Linked DNA regions of Ovis aries. Each later gene encodes a partner of the first gene's protein in a complex. Links are inferred from orthologs where the notes say so. Each region holds a gene or a part of one and is shown on either strand. Other genes may lie near its edges.

The links.
Region 2: the proteins of STX12 (region 1) and VTI1A are in contact, whole or in part, in a crystal structure (PDB 2NPS), measured with the Rattus norvegicus proteins. The link is inferred for Ovis aries from reciprocal best matches to the Homo sapiens genes STX12 and VTI1A. Residues at the interface, in NP_075228.2 of Rattus norvegicus: Glu185, Ile188, Gln189, Leu191, Glu192, Ile195, Leu196, Val198, Asn199, Phe202, Lys203, Leu205, Ala206, Ile209, His210, Gly213, Ile216, Asp217, Glu220, Val223, Glu224, Ser226, Glu227, Val230, Glu231, Ala233, Ser234, Asp235, Leu237, Gln238; in XP_038945999.1 of Rattus norvegicus: Arg131, Arg134, Ser135, Arg138, Leu139, Ala141, Gly142, Ile145, Ala146, Glu148, Thr149, Ile152, Gly153, Met156, Asn159, Leu160, Asp163, Arg166, Arg169, Ala170, Arg173, Leu174, Glu176, Thr177, Asn180, Leu181, Lys183, Ser184, Ile187, Leu188.

The regions. Positions count from the first base shown.
Region 1 is NC_056055.1:239,297,600-239,301,413, reverse strand, and holds part of STX12 (syntaxin-12), read left to right. Parts: intron 1-3,279; coding exon 3,280-3,417; intron 3,418-3,814. UniProt on the Homo sapiens protein: SNARE promoting fusion of transport vesicles with target membranes. Together with SNARE STX6, promotes movement of vesicles from endosomes to the cell membrane, and may therefore function in the endocytic recycling pathway.
Region 2 is NC_056075.1:32,506,347-32,510,623, reverse strand, and holds the start of VTI1A (vesicle transport through interaction with t-SNAREs homolog 1A), read right to left. Parts: upstream 2,991-4,277; 5' UTR 2,836-2,990; coding exon 2,742-2,835; intron 1-2,741. UniProt on the Homo sapiens protein: V-SNARE that mediates vesicle transport pathways through interactions with t-SNAREs on the target membrane. These interactions are proposed to mediate aspects of the specificity of vesicle trafficking and to promote fusion of the lipid bilayers.

The DNA.
Region 1 (3,814 bases):
CAACTCTCACATCCATACATGACTACTGGAAAAACCATAGCCTTGACTAGATGGACCTTTGTTGGCAAAGTTTGAATCATTAAGAACATAAAACAAATCCACAGAGGTATTATCTCTGGTGAAATATAAATCCTGGATTCCCTTCTTCCTATTGTGCTGAATATTCTTTTCCTTTTCAACTGTTTCTTTATCTAATTAACCTTAGCCCTGTCACTCATCTTTTTGCTACTGGACTATCAAACCATACATCGTACTTTCACATTTCTTTCATACTTACGCACTGTTATCAGTGATCTTCTAATTGCCAAATCCAGTGGAGGTTTTTTGCATTTTTATTCATTTCTCTTTGTTTTATTTGATCCTCCTGTTCATCCTGTCTTTACTGAAATTTCCTTTTTCTTCCCATGATTTCCATAGTAAAGACAACAAAGTAGATTTCGTGTCCCCTGACTCTGGTGACCCCTTTCTGGCCTTTTGTCTCTCTTACCCCAGGTTGAGTCTCAGCGTCTTTCTCTGACTCTGTGTCTTGTTAGAAGTGGGTGTGCCCCGAGGTGCTACCAGTGATCCTCTAATTTTGTTATTTTATGCTTTCTCCCCCAGGAGTCTTTTCTACTTTTATGAATTTCCTGTGACTTTTATGACATGGTCCCCAAATCTTTTTCAATCCCTTGCCCCTGCACCTCTAAGTACTTGGCCCATATTGCTGATTCCTGCTCTGACATCGCCTCTTTGATACGCTAATGAATCCCTTCTGTTTCACCCAAACCCCTCACTAAGCTGACTGACGGTACTTATTGTCATAAAAAAAAGTTTGTGCCTTTTGACCTAATATTTCCACTCATGCAAATGTTTCTAAGTTCTAAGGGAAAAAAACCCAGCTATGCAATCTGGGGCCAGGTTTCCTGGATTTAAATTCTGCCCTTGCCATTTACTATATGATCCTAGGCAAATTGCTTAACCTCTCTGTGCCTCATTTTCCAGATCTGTCAAATAGGTACTTTAATAGTATAGGTTGATAGATGGATTAAATGAGTTATTATATAAAGTGGTTATAACAATATGATATGTGATAAGCATTGTATAAATATTAGTGTTACAATAGGGCTTAGTTTAGCTTTATTTATTTGTAATAGTTAAAAATAGAACAATCTAGAAGGAATGCTTACATAAAATTTACTAGATCAACTTAATGGAGTATTGTATAGCAAAGACTGAATTGTGAAGAGTATGTTAACATGGAAAATGTTTATGATATACTTAAAAGATAATATTTTTGGATAGTGAGATTGAGGAATGATGTTTTTTCCCCTCTATTATTTAATGTTTATGTAAAAATTAAAATCTCAGGAATGGGATAAAAAGTCCCTCATCTAAATTTGCTTTCAGTGTTACCATCTCTCTCCCAGGTGTGAAATGTGAGTCATCCTTTGACTTTATCCTCCTTTCCCACAGCCAGTCGCATAATGTTTTTTAGACTCATTTCTTTGTGTTCTCATTACTGATACCATGTCTTCCTAACCTTAAACCTTGATTATTGTGGTCATCTTTTTGACTTATTTCATTTTCGCATTCCATTGTGTTCACCATTGTGGAAGTTATCATTTTGTACACATCATGGTCCCCTCATAGAAATCCTCATTGCTCTTTGAATCCCAAACTCATTAGCTTGGCATTTTAAACCTGCAGCGGGTGGGCTTCCTTGGGGGTCCGGTGTTTAAGAGTCCGCCTGCCCATGCAGAGGACGCAGGTTCAGTCCCTCATCTGGGAAGATCCTGCATGCCACAGAGCAACTAAGTCTGTGAGCCACAAATACTGAGCCTGAGCTCTAAAGCCTGTGTTCCGCAATGAGAGATGTCACTGCATTGAGAAGCCTTCGCACTGCAACAAAGAGTAACCCCCGCTCTAGAGGAGGCCTGTGTGAAGCAACAAAGACTTGGACAACCAAAAATAAATTTAAAAAATAAAATAAAACCTGCTGTGGGGACTTCCCTGGTGGTCCAGTGGCCAAGACTCCGCCCTCCCAATGCAGGGGGTCCAAGTTCAATCCTTAGGAAACTAGATCCTACATGCCACAACTAATAGTTCACATTCCACAACTAAAAACTCCACAGGCCACAGCTAAAGAACCTGCATGCCTGAGTGCATGGGTCGTAAGTTGCTCCCATCATATCTAACTCTTTGTGACCCTATGGACTGTAGACTGCCAGGCTTCTCTGTTCATGGGATTCTCCAGGCAAGAATACTGGAGTGGATTGCCCTGCCCTACTCCAGGGGATCTTCCAGACTAGGAGTGGAACCCCGTCTCTTAGTCTCCTGCGTTGGCATGTGAGTTCTTTATCACTAGTGCCACCTGGGAAGCCCTGCATGCCACAACGAAGATCAAAAATCCTGCGTGTGCCACTAAGACCCAGTATGGCCAAGTAAGCAAATCTTTAAAGAATAAATATAAAACCTGCAGTGGCCAGCTCCTTCCCTATGTTTTCAATTTTATCTTTTAGCTATTCTCATGAAAAAAACCTCTGGTTCCAGTCAAACTATCTTTTTATAAATCCTCTGCAAATTTCTGCCACCATGCCTTTGCTCACACAGTTACCTTGCATGGCTTTGCCTTTCCCCTTCTCTACTATTCATGCCTTACTCTTCCCTTAGTGTCCACCACCTCTTGAGGCCTTGACCACTTGGATTCTTACTGATTATACTTGCCTCTGTATAACCTATAGTACCAATTGACTATAGCAAGTGCTCTCAGTATGTGCTTTTTGAGACATAGTATCAGTAAGCTAAATAAACATAGCCTGTAACTCTGCAGAATAAGCTTTTAGGTTCTCAAAGATTTTGAACCTCACTTCAGTGTAAAGGCAAACGATTCTGTGGTGTTCAGGTAAGCTGTGAACTAACTATAGATGAATACAGTTGAACATGTAGCAAGGAAACAGTCTCTGAGTCTAGTCTAAATCCATAGGTGTTTATTCTGCTTTTAGATTCTCCTGGGAACTAAAATTCTGAACTGTGGTTCCCTCTGAGATTCCCTTACATGGTAAAAGACACCTAGTTCACAGGTTTGTAAGAATGAAAGAAGGAAAACTCTGACTTGGCCTATAGTATTAACCAGAGATTTGAGTTAGAAAAGAGCAAGTTCATTCATTTAAGGAAGAGCCTATTTCATAGTTCTTTTCCTAGTTGGGAATTTTTAGGGGGTGTACTTTTGCTTTTAAAGGGAATTAAAACCAAATGATTCTGGGTTAATATGAAATGTTAAGTTCTTGTTTAATTTCCCAGCGCCAGCAGAAACTTCAGAAGGAACGTCTCATGAATGACTTCTCTGCAGCCTTAAACAGTTTCCAGGCTGTGCAGAGAAGGGTGTCTGAAAAGGAGAAGGAGAGCATTGCCCGAGCAAGAGCTGGATCTCGTCTTTCTGTGAGTTTATTTCCAAAAGAAGGTCTCTGCAAATTTCAGGATGTTCTTTCCTAAGTTAAAAAATTTTTTTTTACCATTTGTCTTTGCTTACTATCCCTGCGAATAATAAATATGGACATTAGCTGCTATGAAAATGTCAGATTGGTATAACCTTTGTTAAAAAAGTGTACATACGGTCAAAGACTGGAAAGGAATGTGCACAAAGATTTACAAAAATGACAGGTAGAATCATGTGTAATTTTCTTTTTTCTCTCTCATTGTCATATTGATCTTATGTTAAAAGCTTTTTAAAAAGAAAGGTTAAATCCGTTTCCTAGAATGTAGAAGGCCAGGTTATTTGGACTAGCCTTCCCTTTGAAAAGAATTAACAGATACTAGATTTTAACAACTCAGTGTC
Region 2 (4,277 bases), on another chromosome or scaffold:
CTACAGCTACCAAATGATAGGCTTCACAACAGACCATTTTTCTCCCTGTACACGGTGAGATAAGCAACTAACTGCAAAGGAACCTTTTGCTTAAGATCCTTCAGGAAGCCTGCTTGTTGGCATGGAATTCCAGCCTCTATAAAGTATCTCCCCCACTTACAACTCATCGTCAGAGAAAGAGGAACGTTACAATTAGTGTTAGTGATGGTTTCCACTCATCCATTTTCCTGACTTTACTCCAGAATACAAATCATTAAAATCAAAGCTCAAATATAGTGCAATAAGAATATTACTTAAGAAGAGACTGATCTATCTTTTGGTCCACAGAGTAATCAAATTTCTTTTTGAAGTTTTAAAATATTTAATCTTTTCTATTCTCTTGGAAGTAACACTTTAACACATTGTACATGCACAGCAGAGAATGAAGTTAGTTGCAATCAATCCAATTTATTCTAATCCCATTTCAGTAAGTTAATATTTCAGGGACTAAACTGCTTTGGCTGAAAATTTTGCTCCAATTTTTAACCTTTACTTGGGTAATTTCTGGGTCAACCACCAATGATGCCAGGAAGAGATTATAATTACTTTTAATCATACTAGTTTTGCATGGTTGCACATAATCAATTCCTGTTGTCCACAGATATACATCTGAAATGCATAACTACAAACATAATATTTTTTATCTTTCCCTATTTATCAACTAGAAACAGATTATAAAATGAGCAAGTACAAATAATTATTGAGAGGGAAACCACAGTATTTTTAAGAATTACTATTTTATTTAATTATTCAAGTTAGTAAGCATTTTTCCAATGCCAGCTATAGTCTCCTTTCAATTCCCATGAAGCTGCTTCTTTGGACCTTACATTACATTGTAGCTGTAGAAATTCAAGGTCTCTAAGTTACTTAATTCAAAGGTTTCTATGTGGTAAGAATGGTCACATTAAAATAAAAGGGAAGAAAAAAAACAACAATTGTAACAAATCTGTTTTCTTGGAATTGGCTGTTACAATTTTGCACCCAGGAATGACTTTGTTACTTTATAGAATAGCTTCTCAATACCAAAGCTATTAGCCCAAACAAAAGAATGTTTGCTAAGCTACAATTCTGACAATTAAAACAGAGCAAAAAAATCCCACAAAACCACAAATCCTGATATTCTGAGGTTCTGGGACTGAAGTCAAAGGTAGGCTCCAACGATAATGACAACAAAAATCAAGATGATCTTGGGTGGTGGAGGAAAGCAGAACTGAAGAGAAGAGGCGAGGTGATGTATCATGAAGTGATGAGGCCACTGGCCACTTTCGCCACAACAATCTCCCAGGCAGCAGAGCTCCGTGGTAGATGCTACCTTGGTTCTTTCCTCTTGTTCCCTCACTTGGACTCATACACCTCTTTAAGACATCATCCTCCACCTCCTCCAGAACTAACTGGGACTTCAGGAGATGAATGGGGTGTAAGTTCAGAGATCCTGGCTTCAAGCAAATGTCCCTATTAATAGAAAACAGGTGTGGGAGGGGGAGGAGAAAAATAAAGAAATAAAGGAATAAAATTATTTATAAACACATAAGTTTGGGGAGAGGTGGGGAAAGGAAAAGAGGAATCACAGCTTCGGTATAGGAGAAATTATTGCTGGCATCAAGGACTGACTGACAAGGTGGAACAATGAAGTTGACCACCGGTTTACAGATAAACTTTACACCACAGAGTGAAGGTATACGGTTCAATTTCCCTACCACAGCTAAGTTCCTGAATAGCAATCTTATTTGCAACTAAATACTCAAATTAAATCTGTATTGAGAGAAAACAAATCCTAAAACAATATCCTACAGATGAAAATTACATGATATCATATTTATGTATCTGTTCATTTCCTTGAACATTTTCCTGAGCTCCTTCTAAGTAAATGCCAAGGAAACCAAAGATAGCTCCCACCTTCACATAGTTGACAGTCCAGCATTTAAAATAAGATGTGCTAAAACAAAAAAATTCTTCTGAATGACAGCTGTGGGATTTTAAAAGTGAGAAAAATTATTCTGTACCAATTTTTACACATCGTTTCTCAAGAAGGATGAGAAAAAAATAAATGAGCTTGGTAGTATGAAAAATATTAATGATTATAGCAGCTAACATTTTAAAAAAAAAGGATTTTACATATGTTAAGTCATTTAATCTTCACATGAGAGATGCACAATTCTTTCCATTTTACCAAGAAACAAAAGTTGCGGGAAGTTAAGAAACTTGCCTAAATGCAACTTCTAAGTGGCAGGGCTGGGATTTGAATCCAGGCACCACGGCTCTCAACCCTGCTTTTCTGCCTATAGTAATAACATCGTTACTAACAAAACAACGTTGCTGTATGGTGTAGACCCATGACCTTGGTACGTTAATTCATTCTCGTTGAATACTCTCACATCTCTGTATTTCACAAACAAAAGTAACAGAAAAGCCAACCAAAACGAAGACTCAGAGAAACGTTCCCATGGTTATACGAGTAAAAAGGTGGAGAAGTCCAGATAAGAACTCCAAAAAAGCTTCAGATTCCAAAGGCTCTGCACCCCACAATCCAGCTTGGATCCTCCCCTTACCCTCAACCCACTCAACCATTCCTCCCGGAGGCCCCGACACTACTTCATCCTCCAGGCTCGCGCCTAAGAGGCATTGAGGCAGAGTTCCATCGTCCACACCGGAGCCTCCCCACTTTCCAGGACACCCCCGCCCGGCCTAAGAAGCGCCCTTACCAGGTGGGAGTCGGGGGACCCTTGCAATCTTGTTGGTGATCTCTGCTGTGAGCACCGCGAAGTCCTGCTCGTAGCCTTCAAAGTCGGACGACATGGCGGGTTCCGGAGTGGCCGGCCCGGGTCGGAGCCTAGAACGGAGCTGAGGTCACGCGGGGCAAGAAAAACAGAGTGTAAGGACCCGGAAAGTTCCCTAGAGAGCGGAGCAGAGAACCGGGGACAGCTCCCAGGCCGACCGCTTCCTGGTTGTTCGTCGCGATCTTGGTCCTCCGGAAGTTGGGCTGGGTGCGTGTTTCAGTTTCCGTTTAGGCTCCAAGATTAAGAAGTTCTCTAAGGAAAACCCCTTAAATCAGTGTCCCTAAAAGCCTAAAAAAACCTCGTGTTCTCAGGAATCATTTAAAAGCTTTTTTTTCCTTCCTCCGCGTTTTGGAAAGTGGTTCCGGTTCCCCAAACTAGAAGCCAGAGGAACTTGCTTCCCGACGGAAGGTTGATGCGGCGGACCTCCCGGAAGTGGCTGTCACGGAGACTGCGCACTGAGCTCGAGCAGGAGAGCAGCTGCGAGGGCGCTGGCGGAGCGACGCGCGGGTCGTGGCTGGTCACACACCCCAGCTTCTAGCGCACAGAATTTACTTTCTACTTGCGTTGGGCTGGGGTACCCAGGAAGGAGTTATCCGAGAGGGAGAGAGTCTGCTCCGGGTGAGCCCGAGCCGCCCCAGAAATGCGATGGCCGAGGAGCGGGCACTGAGGACCGGACCGAGGTGGGAGTCAAAGCAGGGGACATGATTTTGCGGTCATCGCCCCACCCGAATGAAGCCAGCATCTCCAGAAAACCGAGACCAACCACCCTTACCAAGATGTTCGTCCCCTGCGTGAGGATTTCTCAGTGCTCTGCTCCATAACACGGGAGGGAAACTGAGGCACGAGGCAGCGCGACATCTCTTGCGTGGAAATCTTTGTTGCTCTGGTTCTCAGATCTTCTTCGCTTGACTCACTCCAGTCCAGTGCTAAATAGCCTTCTACAGATCTTCCCCGCGCTCGCCGTCCTGCCTTCCCGGTCCCTCGCCTTCCCCCCCCCCTCCCGCCCCCGCTCCCTCCCTCCCCGTCCCCCCAATAGTCTCATTCGTGCTTATTTTCATCTACGCCTCCGGCCCTGAGTTCACACACACGTCTCTCTCCTCACCTCCTCTCCCCGCTCCTCCCCTCCCCTCCTTGAGCTTTCATCCTCCGATTTCTTTACTTCTAACACAAGTAGACCTTACGTTAGCCTTTGAGGGGCAACCGCAGGCAAATGCTGTAGACCTTGTCTGGATCAAACTGGATTTAATTCAAGAGTGGGTAGGAGACAGTTCAGAACTCTGTAAAGGAGGTTTGATGATTTGGCTTCTGTCGGGTTCAGCTGTCACTCACCCAAGTGGTTTAATCGCTCAGCCTCTCTGAGCCATTTTCTTTTCTATGAAGAAGGAAACTGGATTAGGTCAACTATAAGGCCCTCCATCCCAGCTCTAAATTGTTTTTGTTAACTGCAGCCTTTCACTAAAC